Drosophila melanogaster: one gene and its partner. The protein of the gene in region 1 interacts with the protein of each later gene in a biochemical or structural test. Each region holds a gene or a part of one and is shown on either strand. Other genes may lie near its edges.

Region 1 (7,492 bases):
AGAACTATGGCAAACTTGTCCGTGGGCGAGCAACCCGAGCCACTGAGATCGTAGGCATCGTCGTAGGCCGAAGTCTCCATGGTTTTGGTGTTGTTCTTGTAGAACATCACCTTCATGGTCTTCTGGGCATCATATTTGATTCTCTGCTGGTGGGCTTCATAAACAAAAACATCGACATGATACGCTCGTCCAGCAGAAACTTTCTCCCACATCCATACCCAAAGTGTCATTTTGCGTTGCCTTTGCTGCTTGCTTTTGCCTCAAAATGGCATATTTAAGATTCAGTTTCGAGTGCGTTCCATCAATTAAGAGAACACAGCAAACAATTAGGATTGAGTGGAAACTACTGAACAACTGCATTATCTGGTCATCTGGATGGTTAGCTGAAAATAAAAAGTAACAACAGTGCAAACCGCGTAGAAAACCAGTTTTCTGTGCCGAAGAGATACAAATTCGATATGGTATACGGCAATCGATGAAGAATGGGGTTTGGCGCCAAAAGAGGCTGCATTCAAAAGTGGCGCTTTCTATTAAATATTGCATTTTCTTTATTTCAATTTAAACGATTCCGCTTCTCCTATGTAGAGCACTTTTCATTGTCATCAAAATCTAGGGAGTTGAGAACATTGACGTCCAGTTCTGGGTCCGCGTACTCCAGGATATTGAAGTCGTCTCCCATTTCGGAAGTGAGCGACTTGAGTAGGTCGTCGTCGTCGCCCTCGCCGAGTCCTCCCAGAAGGTCGCTGAATCCGACATTCTCCAACTCCACGGCGGAAGAGGTTGCCTCCTGCGGCTCGCCCAACTTCACATCCTGCTCCAAGGACCTGCCTTCAGATGGCTGAGATTTTCCACTTATGCTCAGCATGGGATTGTTCTGCGTAATGGGTGTGTTCTGCATCATTCCCAGCCGCATTACATCGTTGCCCAAGAACAAGTCCGAGTTGGCCCCCATGAGCATCGGCTCCGTGCTGTTCTTCTGCAGCAGGTTCCTGAGCTTCTTGTCGCCAATGGGTTCCGTGCCGTACACCGCCGTGTTCAACTCCAGCCTATTGTCCACGGTGGTCATTTTCAAGGTGCTGGCTGCTGTCGTGTGCACCTGAGTCCTTTGCATCGTGGCCTTAATCACCAGATTATCGTTAACGTTCGGCATCACGTGATGCGGATTGGGATTATTGGACGCTGCCTGCGCCGAGCCACCAACATAGTTGCCCATATCGTAGGCGTTTCCATCTAGACGAAAAAACAAGGGTTAGAGCAACTAAAACAAGTCTTGAGCTGCAGCACTTACTGTACGTGACAAACATGTTCGGCTGGTCTTCCTTCAGCTTGGGCGGTTGTTTCCACACTCTTCCCATTTCCTCCTGCTTCTGTGGTTTCGGTGGCATAGGTATTTTGTTCTGTTCCCGCCTCTGCCGCAGTGCTGAGCGATTGTCCTTGGCCTTCTGCAAGAACGGCGCCTTCTTCTCGTTGCACAGCGAGCGCCACCTCTTCAGAATCTGCTTGCAGCGGTCGTTCCAAATCGGAAACAACTCCTTCAGGTTGGGATGCTCAGTATTGGCATACAGCACGGCCGAAATGGTGGCCATGAGCCCAAGATCTGCAAAACAAATGGGGTGATGAGCATTTGAATCCTACACTATTTAAATGCACCCTCATACCCTCATCCTTGCGCATTTTCTCCGCCGTCTTTTGAGTGCCAGCGTTCAGGGTTTCCGTCACGGGCTCCACAACCTTCTGCTCCTCCTCTGGTCTCTTTTCGGTTTGCAAAACGACTTGGCTCATTATAGTTTGCATATTCTGCTTATTGGCATTTTGTGGTGCCTGCTGACGGAACTGAAGCTGCTGGGCGGGATTAACCAAAGTATTTCCGCCCAAATATAGCTGATTGTGAAACTTCTGTTCCTGTGGCAACTGGTTGGGGACCATGAAACTGTCGACCAGGACCGCAGGTGATTCCCTTTGAGAAAGAAAAAAGAACAAATTAATAAGCTTAGAATAGACTGGCATATGGACATGAGGCTCACCGCATTGGTTTTTCAATGACTTCAGCTGATGGAACCGTACTAACAGAGTTAGCCATGTCCAGTTCCGGAACATTTGGTGAAGCCAACGCATCCAAAGGATGCCGGTTAGCAAAGACAGTGTTCGAAATCTCCGCTTGCAAGGGATCTGCAAAAATGGTAAACGATACAACCTGGGAATAAAGTGGTCAGTGGGTTGGTTAAACATTTACCAAAAACATTAGACACTGGCGTCGTTCCGTTTTTGTTCTGGATTCCCATGGGCATTTGCTGAATGAAAACAGTTTTGTTCTCAGTTTTCAACTCAGCTTTAACTTTCTTCACGGTCTTCGCTGGACTCTTGTTCACCGCCAGTGTGTCCTGGTTGGCAGGACTCTTGCCCTCGGGCCGCGTGAAGTAAACCTTCATGGACGCATCAATTTCGTCAGAGGAATCTGTATCGGCCATGACAAGCTCTCCACCTTCCAGCAGAGGTTTTCCGAAGAAGGCCTCTTGCAAGTACACGGGATAGGCTTCAATCAGCTTGTTCTTCTGCTTCTTTCGTATGATTTTCTTCTTTTTGTCCATGGTCATAAGGGAATTTATTTGGTCAACGGCCGTCGTCTCCTCGCTGTCCTTCTTGAGACCTCGGTTGCGAACGGAGAATCCACCAATGCCCAGCTTCTGCAGATTGCGCTGTCGCTTCTTGCGTAATATGTTCACTCCCTCGTCGTTAATGGAGATGGTGAAACCCTCGGGAATAGCGTTCTCCGTCCCATCCCAGACCATGCCGTCTTTGTACTTTTCCAGCGCTTCCTCGGCGGCGGCCTCCAATTGTCCATCCTTGCCATTGCCGAGGGCTTGTCGCATTTTGCGCTTGCGTTTGATCTCCGTGGACAATGACTTGATCATGCCCAATCCGCTTTCGCTCAGGCACACTCCGTCAATCCAGTGGAGCGCTTCTGGAGCAGACTCGGGCATATCGCCGGATAAGGTAGGATGATTTCGCTCGGCACCACTCTTAGAATCGAAAGACGGCCCGGAGGAGGCTGTGATGTGCACAAATGGTTTGCTGCCCTGGGGAGTTATGGCCAGCGAATCCTCGTTACCAAACTTGGCATCCGCCAGGGAGTTAGTGCTCCTCGTCGAGCAGCGGCACTTGAAACACTTGTACACATTGTTGTCGTAGTGGTCAATGGTCAGCTGGGCATTGACAGAGTCGCAGTGGAAGTGCGCCCATAGCTCGCAGTGCTCGCACTGGATGATCATCTCGCCGTTGCTGTACGAGACTTTGCAGACGGGACACGAGGATTGGCTGGTGCAGGATGGGCACTCGAGCATGTTGGAGTCCCCGAACTCGCTCTTCTCGGTGGGATTGCGACCGCATTTCTGGCACAGTGTACAGAACGAGCACTTCCAGTTGCCCGTGGGCACGGTTTCCAGCGGAGGATTCACACAGTAAATGTGATACGAAATGTCGCACTCGTCGCACAGGAGCAGGCGCGCCTCGTCGTTCTTCTTGCCACATCCCTCGCACACTGTGCAGTCCAGGCATCGCCAACCCTTCTGCAGGATGCCTCGCGAAGGCTTCACGCCGGCGCAGTACGGATGATAGCATTGGCCGCACTGTGCGCAGGTGATCATCACGGAATCGCTCTCAATGCCCAGCGAGCCGCACATTACGCAGATGTCTTGCGCTTGGATAAACTTATCCCGCGCCGAGCAGAGCAGCAGCTTTTTGTCGCTGGTCAGATCTGTTTCCATGCTGCGACTCAGGCAGCGATCGCTCGAGATGGTGGGCAGCGCAAGCTGGCGCCCCTTGCCTCGGGTGCTGCGTTTCTTGTTGATCTGCGACATCACACCCATGCGGTGTAGGACGAACTTTCCGCTTCTACCGCGAACACTCGTAAGGCACACTTTTTTCTTGCCGGTGGGTAGCTTGTGGAGCTCATCGCTCGATGGATCCATTGTGGGTTTGCCCTCCAGCGGGTCAAGTTCGATTTCCTTGAGGCTCAGTTGCTCCGACGACGAATCCATGGCGGACAGCACGATCGAGTCGATTGTCTGTTGGGATGATCCCGGGCCCGACGAATTACTCTTGCAATTCGGACACACGTAGTCGTAATCTGGGTTTTGCTCCTTCTTCTTGTGGTAGGCCGTTAAATCCGCCTCTTCGTCACACGTACTGTGCACAAATCTGAAACGAATCCATATAATAAGCAAGACTAATCAGGCAGAAGCGAGTGAAACGTACTTGTTGCACCAGCTGCACTTGACCATTTCCTTGTGCGATGCTGCCCTGTACGCTTTCTGGCAAATCGGGCAGGAAAAGCCCTTGTTCCGCTGCTGATAGCACGAATCGCAGATTGTGTAGTGGCTATGCCAGCGGGAGGAGCTGCCGCCGCCAGGAGTTCTTGAACCACAATCCGTACAGACGCGACAGCGCTAGAAGGAACATAAATACCATAAGTATTGGATAACACTTAATATCCGTCAATATCTGCTTACATTGCACTTCCAGCCATATTTGGGGATGGCTGAGATAACTGGTCGCAAGCAGGAGGCGTGGTAAGTCTTCTGGCATTGCTCACACTTAACGTACTTGGTGTCGTTCGAGTCTTGCTGCCTGCAAATCTGGCATTTTGTGCAACGGGCGCAGTTCCACCCAGAACGCGTATCTATGGAAGCATTAAACATGTAAACATGTAAACCAATGGTACGATGGTACTTGACAGTAGTTACCCGGCAAATTGGCCAGACCAATGCAGGTCGAATGAAAGTGGTCTCCGCAGGTACTACACATGATCAGCTTGGACAGATCCCCCAGCGAGGAGCAGGACAGACACTCCACATTATTGTCGCTGCCTGTAAGTCATTTGTTTCCATTAGTTTCTGTGAGAGTTTGCTGCCCAAGAATCACTTACATATCACAGGCACCTGGCTCAAATGTTCCGTGCAGAAGACCGTAAAGCTCTCGAGGATCAGAAGGCACCCAGCAGCGGCGGCACACGGCCAATGGTGCACCTGGCGGCAGTTCATCTTGCAGTTGATGGAGGCCCCGTAGCGTCCACAAAAGTTGCACTTTTGCTCCAGGAACTCCGCGAAGTGGGTGGCAAAGTACGCGCCATCTGCATCGCTTATCTGACTTTTGCGCAGCGACCACATGATGCACATGCGGTGCACGTAGACGAACCCCTCGTCAAGAAATTCGGCGGGATGCACGACGTCCGGCTGTCCAATCTTGTCCAGCTCGTAGTGACAATCGCCCGAACTAGAAGCGGCCTGCTTAGGCCCGTATAACAGCCTGGATCCGTCCTCCCTCAGCCGATCCGTCGGATATTTATCCTTGATCTCGGCGGGCGCGGGCGCCTTCAGTTGTAGAATCTCGCCCTGGCCCAAGGCACTCTTCTCGCCGAGATTGCATAAACAGCACACCTTGCCCGGAAACTTCTCCGGGAAGTACGGCAGGTCGTCGGCCACCGCCTTCTCCTCCATGCTCACAACAACGTTCGTGCTCATCGCGGATTGATGCGTTTCATTAAAATAACAAAAAATAGCCGCCGCTTATTTTGTATACATTACTCGACAGCTAAATAAAATGTCAACGTGCATCGCGCCCCAATGTTATCGAACAGGCGTCAATGTTGTCGAGAACGATGTGCGTTCGTTTGCAGAGCGAGTAGTACAATTATTAGATATAAATATAAAAGTCTTCCTTATATTACAAAGTATTTATACTTTTAAATGGCAAATCAAATATAACATCATATTTTAATTTTTTTTATGCGGCTACAAATTAATTAATTAATTTCTGAAATTATACATTATAAATAATAATACACTTACATTAGGCTGTCACGCCTACATATCGATATACCTTTACCAATCGCATTCAGCTGATCAAAGTGCAACTCTGCAATCCAGCCCTGGAAAAATACCGTACTCCAGTTCTTCAAACTGGAAAAATGATGGCACAACTAAGTTAAACACACAGAAGTAGAAAATGTAAATAAAAGCACAATTATAGACTATTCTGTTAGCATGGCTGTGTATCGTCCCCGCGGCACCCTGGCCAGGGTAATCCACGCCAAATTCCACAACGACAACTCTCTGGAGGACATAGACACTCGGAAGGTAACTCGAAATCCCGAAACAATATGATTTTTCCTAAATTCTGGATGCATTTCAGTGGTACTGCCTGAACCACGAGCTGCCGCCGAGATTCCAGTCCAAGTTCGTGCCGCTCGAGCCGGATGCCACCACCGTGAGCTGGCTGGAGCGCACCAAGGCGCTTTCGGCAAACATCTGGACCCACTTGTGGCACGCCCTGGCTCGCTCAATCCTGCAGTTCTTCATGACCCAGACGGACATCAACGGGTTCCTGAAGCGCGGCTCCATGTTCATACTGTCCGAGGAACAGTTTCGCAAGCTGCTAGTAGCAGGCGGCTTTCAGCCTGCCAGCGGTCAAGAACCTGTAAGATGAGTAAAAGCCTTTAGTCTTGACCACTACTCATCTGCCATCATATCGTAGGTCACGTTGCTGGATATCGGAGCCGGGGACGGTGAGATTTCGCTGCGCGTGGCCAACACCGTTTCCGAGCTGAGCGGAAGTGCCGGGCTGCGGGTCTTCGCCACCGAGGCCAGTTGGACCATGCGCGATCGGCTGAAGAAGCTGAACTTCAACGTAATCACCGAGATAGACGGTCTGCAGAACCTGGAATTGATTCTGTGCCTCAACGTATTGGACCGCTGCTTCGATTCATTCAAGCTGCTCGAGGACATTCACCTGGCACTAGCTCCCAATGGTCGAGCAGTTGTGGCCTTAGTACTTCCCTACATGCACTACGTGGAGACGAATACCTCGCATCTGCCGCTGCGCCCGCTGCTGGAGAACAACGGGCGACAGGCGTCGTTCGAGGAGGAGGCGGCCAGGTTTATGGAGCTGCTGGAGAACTGTGGCTACCGCGTGGAGGCATGGACCAAGGCGCCGTACTTGTGCGAGGGTGATCTCCACCAGTCGTTCTATTGGTTAATCGATTTAATTGTTGTCATTTCCAAGAAGACATTCTAGATCAAAGCTTCCACATCCTAAAAAGAACCCTTCTGAAGTTATTGTAACCGTTTTCCTCGTAGAGTTAAGTGGCTGCATTGAGAAACTGAGCATTTATACTTATTACAAATGTAGGCTATCAACTAGTTAAACAATTTATTCTTAAAGAATTACCAAAAATGTAAATGGATAAACAAACATGTTTAAATTAAAGGGCGACATTCAAAGCCGCGTTCGAAACTGAATACTGTTCTCGATATTATCAACTAATTGTAGTTATTCTACAGTCTTGGGTAGTTTTAATGCATCTAACTTGATACTTGTGGCAGTAATCAGGTAACTTAGAATATGTATTTGACGAGCAGCTGTTTAATAACAAATGTCAGTATTGTCGAAGGTATTATGTGTACTAAACTAAGCCTTATATAGTCTTTGGTAGTCA
Region 2 (3,852 bases), on another chromosome or scaffold:
ACTGCTGCTCCTTCTGTTCCGGAAAGGGCAACCGGAACGTGATGTGCTCGTGTGAGGGTCATATGCCTGGATATAGTGGCTGCGGTCATGGACATGCTGGACATCCAGGGAGACGTCATTGGTCCTGCTGTGGAAATGTCCTTGAGAACTCGGAATGCAATGTGGCCAACAAACTGCTTAATTCTTAAGTAATTGATTAGGATGCAGGGCTATAAAACGAATAAATTAACATATAGCCAGGTTTCGCCATTTTGTTTGTTCATCTTGTGAAATTTCAAAGATCTTGTAGTTTATACGCACGCGCAGATAGACAACAAGGATACTTCAAAATAAACGTTTTTCTACCTGCAAAATACATGCATTCCAACAGACCCGACAGTCCATTTACAATGTGCACACAATAATCTCAGATTGCTAAGGCTACAAAATCCCTTTCGACCTCTGGAATTACCAATTGAATTCTCCTTATTACCATATGGTCAGCATATGCGCGTCATATCCTGACCGTTGAGCAACAAGTCGCAAATAAAAGTTACTTATATAGGCTCCAGCAGAATAAAGGTTTTTTTTATTTATTGAAAATGGTTATCATAAATACAGACACTGACTCTGGACATTTATGGAAAAAAGTCCGATGCCTTAAGAGTTGGTTGGGTGGTTTTGAAAGCGCCTGCAAGGAGCTATAATTCTAAGTGGGTAATTTTTCGTTAAATGTATAATCGTTCTTTTTCGCTTTCGATGATCCAACTGTTTAATCTTCATTATCAGAGTACCAGGATAGGCGCTCTTCGTAGAAGTGGATTACCATTCGTGGGATTTTTTCATTGGCCACTGAGGAGGGCACCATTTCTGCTTGGTCCACGCCTTTGAACTGAATGAGGAATGTCAGGCGGCCATTATTGTCGGAGGCACCCAAGATCTTTTCGGCCTCCAGGCCGCGATCGAATCCGGTAGATCCTGAAACGGGAATGGTGTCCTGCTCCGCATCTGTGGTACGTTTTGATTTATTGCCAGAGGGCGCTAAATAAATAAAATAAAAACAAGTAATTAATACAGTGCAATTTTTTAATAGATGCATTTTTTTATTGCAAAGACCATCTTTTTCTTGCGCATGCCATTCTTGCGAAGGACAAAATTTGAGATACATATGTGAATACAGTTTTGACGAAAAGGGCAAATAAATGCCAGTGGATATTGTAGGTGATGACTATTGTTATACCAATTTGTGTACAGAAAATATTTGTAGGTACACTCAATTCCATAGCTTACCTGTTGGTTCTTCGGACTTTCGCTTGCTTGCTGTGGACGTCGAACTGCTGGCGCGTCCTTGAGTTTCCTTGGCCTTGGCGCTGCTGCTGGGTCGATCCTTCTTGGAGGCGGCTGACTTCTCCTACGGACCGAAACGAGATGTAAAGGAAATCCTAGCAAGCACAACTGTACTTGGCATCGCATTGTACTTCACTTACCTCATCCTTGCGGCTCGCCTCGTACTGCTGGATAAGATCCTGGCAGTCGAGATTGTTCTCCGGCTCCCACGTGTTCTCAGTTTCGGGATAGCCCTTCCATTTCAGATAGTACTCCACCTGCAGGTGGAAAATGGCGTTTTAGGACCAAATATAATGGGACGTCTGGTTCGGAAAACTCACCTTTCCCTTGCGCACCCGCCTGTCGATGATCTTTTCCACGGCGTACTCCTCCTCCTCCTCTTCGGCATCGGAAACCTTTGCCGAGCTCTCAGGGTTGTCGATTTTCTTGCCCATTTTGTTTTTATTAAAATACTTCACACGACAAAAAATAAGGAAAGAATTAGCACAACCGCACACAACCGCACACACACGCAAAGTACGAAAGGAAAGTACGATTTTTAGTCGACTCTCTTTGCTTTCATGGCTCACCTAGATTAAATAAGATCTACACTTTATGCACGCAGCTAAATTGGTTTTTATAAGCCTGTGTGTTGGCGCTAGAAGACTTTCCACAAAATGAAAAATCTGCAAAAAAATGCGCGTTCTAAAATGACGCCGGCCGAACAGTGTGCGAAAGTACGCGTGGACTGCTAAGACTACGCTTATCTATTTTCCGATAGATTTGCACATCGTATTAATTTCATTTTAAGTCTAGAAAAATGTTAACACTAAGAACTATCTAAATTTTACAACATAACTATAATAATAACGTAACTAACTGATCGCCAATATCTGTTTTTAAAAATTTTGTAATAAATCGATGAATCGATTAAGGAATCCGTTGTACCACAACTATTATCGACGCGTTTCACAGCACTGAATAAGTTGCGCGAATATTCACGAATTTTTTGACAATTTGCGTTTTGTTTCTTCTGTTTTACGGAAATTCTATAAAAATGCCCAAAACAAAGAAGAAGGATTCGTCCTCAGATAGCGATAGCGGTCCAGATGATGTAAGTTAACTAGAAATACACCAAAACTAGGTATAACAAGTTAAAACCTCTTTCAGCGTATCAAGCCGGCAAGCAAGAAGGCGAAGGAATCTGATGCTCCAAATTCAGATCCAAAAGATTCGGGCGAAAATGGTGCTACATCTTGGACCCTGGAAGGACTTCGCCAGGTGCGAATCAACGAGTTCCGCGGTCGCAAATCGGTGGACATTCGAGAGTTCTACGATAAGGGCGGCCAAATTCTTCCCGGCAAGAAGGGCATCTCCCTATCTTTAATTCAATGGAAGAAACTCCTTGAAGTGGCCGAAGAAGTCACCCGCGCGATCGAGAATTAATTGAAGTTCATCCACATGCCAAACTAAGTCGTAGCCATATGTACTAACTATAGACATATCCACTGAATAAACGTTATCTTAAACACTAGTAATTGAAAATCTGTATTTTCACAGTTGCTGAAGCATTAATGAATGACCAACTTAATTGCCTGATAGGTATTTTCCTTATCTGCTTTGTGGTGGGACTACAAAAAGCACACATATACATAAATGAATGAATCCTTTATTGGACGTCATATGTACATAGATTTGTACATTGATAGCATTTGATATAGATATGAATATTAAAAATAGATGCCCAGAATGGTGAAGATGGACAGGAGAATGGCAAACGGCAGCCAGGTCTTAATAAAACCCCCTATTCCGACGTAGCGGCCGCAGACAAAGAGCCACATGCTGAGGATAATCATGTTCCATGCGGTGCTGTCGTAGTAGCGCATGTAGATGAGTGCCGTTGCCACATGCGAGTGGCAGTTGTCACAGAAGATATTGTGGATGCGGGTGCCGTAGAGCACAGATGCTTTGGAGACCGCCTCGTCCCAGGCGTAACTGCCGCCCACCATGTGCTTGGGGTGCAACCTTATGTACCGGGTGGGTCTTCCAAAGGCCATGTTGTCCTCTGATACGAAGTAGGGGCCGGCGAAGTCACGAATCACACCGGACGAAGTGCAAATGCCCATATGTCCGATCATGGGCATCAGCCAGGTGAGAACCGGAATGGGAGTCCAAACGATGCAGTAGGGGAAGCGTTGGTCCTTTACGTTGATCGGAGGCAGTCTATCCGGAACGCCATTGCCGGCTCCTCCTCCGGAACTGGCCATCGAGATCTGAACGTCCTCGGACTGTTGCCGCTGCGGACTTGGGTTTGTCGACATTATTACACTGTATTAGGTTGATATTTGTGCGGGGAAGCCACAAGAACAGTCACTCACGGTCTTCCCGGCCGTAATGCCCATGAAACGAGTCGCTAACAATTCCAATTGGGCTTTAATTGTACGATAAGGAGAAAATAAAGCAGTCGCAGTTCACTCACATCTACCTCAGTATTTATTGACATGGAGATTGACAGTGTTGGAAAGCATTGCTGTATGGCAGAGGCGT

Evidence for each region. The genes of interacting proteins can lie anywhere in the genome.
Region 2: the proteins of Lpt (region 1) and Su(var)205 form a complex in vitro, tested with the Drosophila melanogaster proteins (one study listed by BioGRID).

The regions. Positions count from the first base shown.
Region 1 is NT_033778.4:23,896,697-23,904,188, reverse strand, and holds Lpt (lost PHDs of trr), read right to left. Parts: upstream 5,629-7,492; 5' UTR 5,520-5,628; coding exon 4,925-5,519; intron 4,866-4,924; coding exon 4,743-4,865; intron 4,679-4,742; coding exon 4,509-4,678; intron 4,446-4,508; coding exon 4,255-4,445; intron 4,198-4,254; coding exon 2,234-4,197; intron 2,170-2,233; coding exon 2,025-2,169; intron 1,958-2,024; coding exon 1,659-1,957; intron 1,598-1,658; coding exon 1,289-1,597; intron 1,231-1,288; coding exon 578-1,230; 3' UTR 528-577; downstream 1-527. Other genes in the region: CG13562 (uncharacterized protein), read right to left, coding at 1-154, 219-360; CG5339 (uncharacterized protein), read left to right, coding at 6,042-6,134, 6,190-6,474, 6,532-7,071; CG17658 (uncharacterized protein), read right to left, coding at 7,490-7,492.
Region 2 is NT_033779.5:8,209,084-8,212,935, forward strand, and holds Su(var)205 (suppressor of variegation 205), read right to left. Parts: upstream 2,040-3,852; 5' UTR 1,761-2,039; coding exon 1,647-1,760; intron 1,584-1,646; coding exon 1,467-1,583; intron 1,391-1,466; coding exon 1,270-1,390; intron 1,021-1,269; coding exon 752-1,020; 3' UTR 543-751; downstream 1-542. Other genes in the region: CG8419 (uncharacterized protein), read left to right, coding at 1-188; Ssb-c31a (single stranded-binding protein c31A), read left to right, coding at 2,363-2,419, 2,476-2,751; CG8372 (uncharacterized protein), read right to left, coding at 3,036-3,626. UniProt on the Drosophila melanogaster protein: Structural component of heterochromatin, involved in gene repression and the modification of position-effect-variegation. Recognizes and binds histone H3 tails methylated at 'Lys-9', leading to epigenetic repression.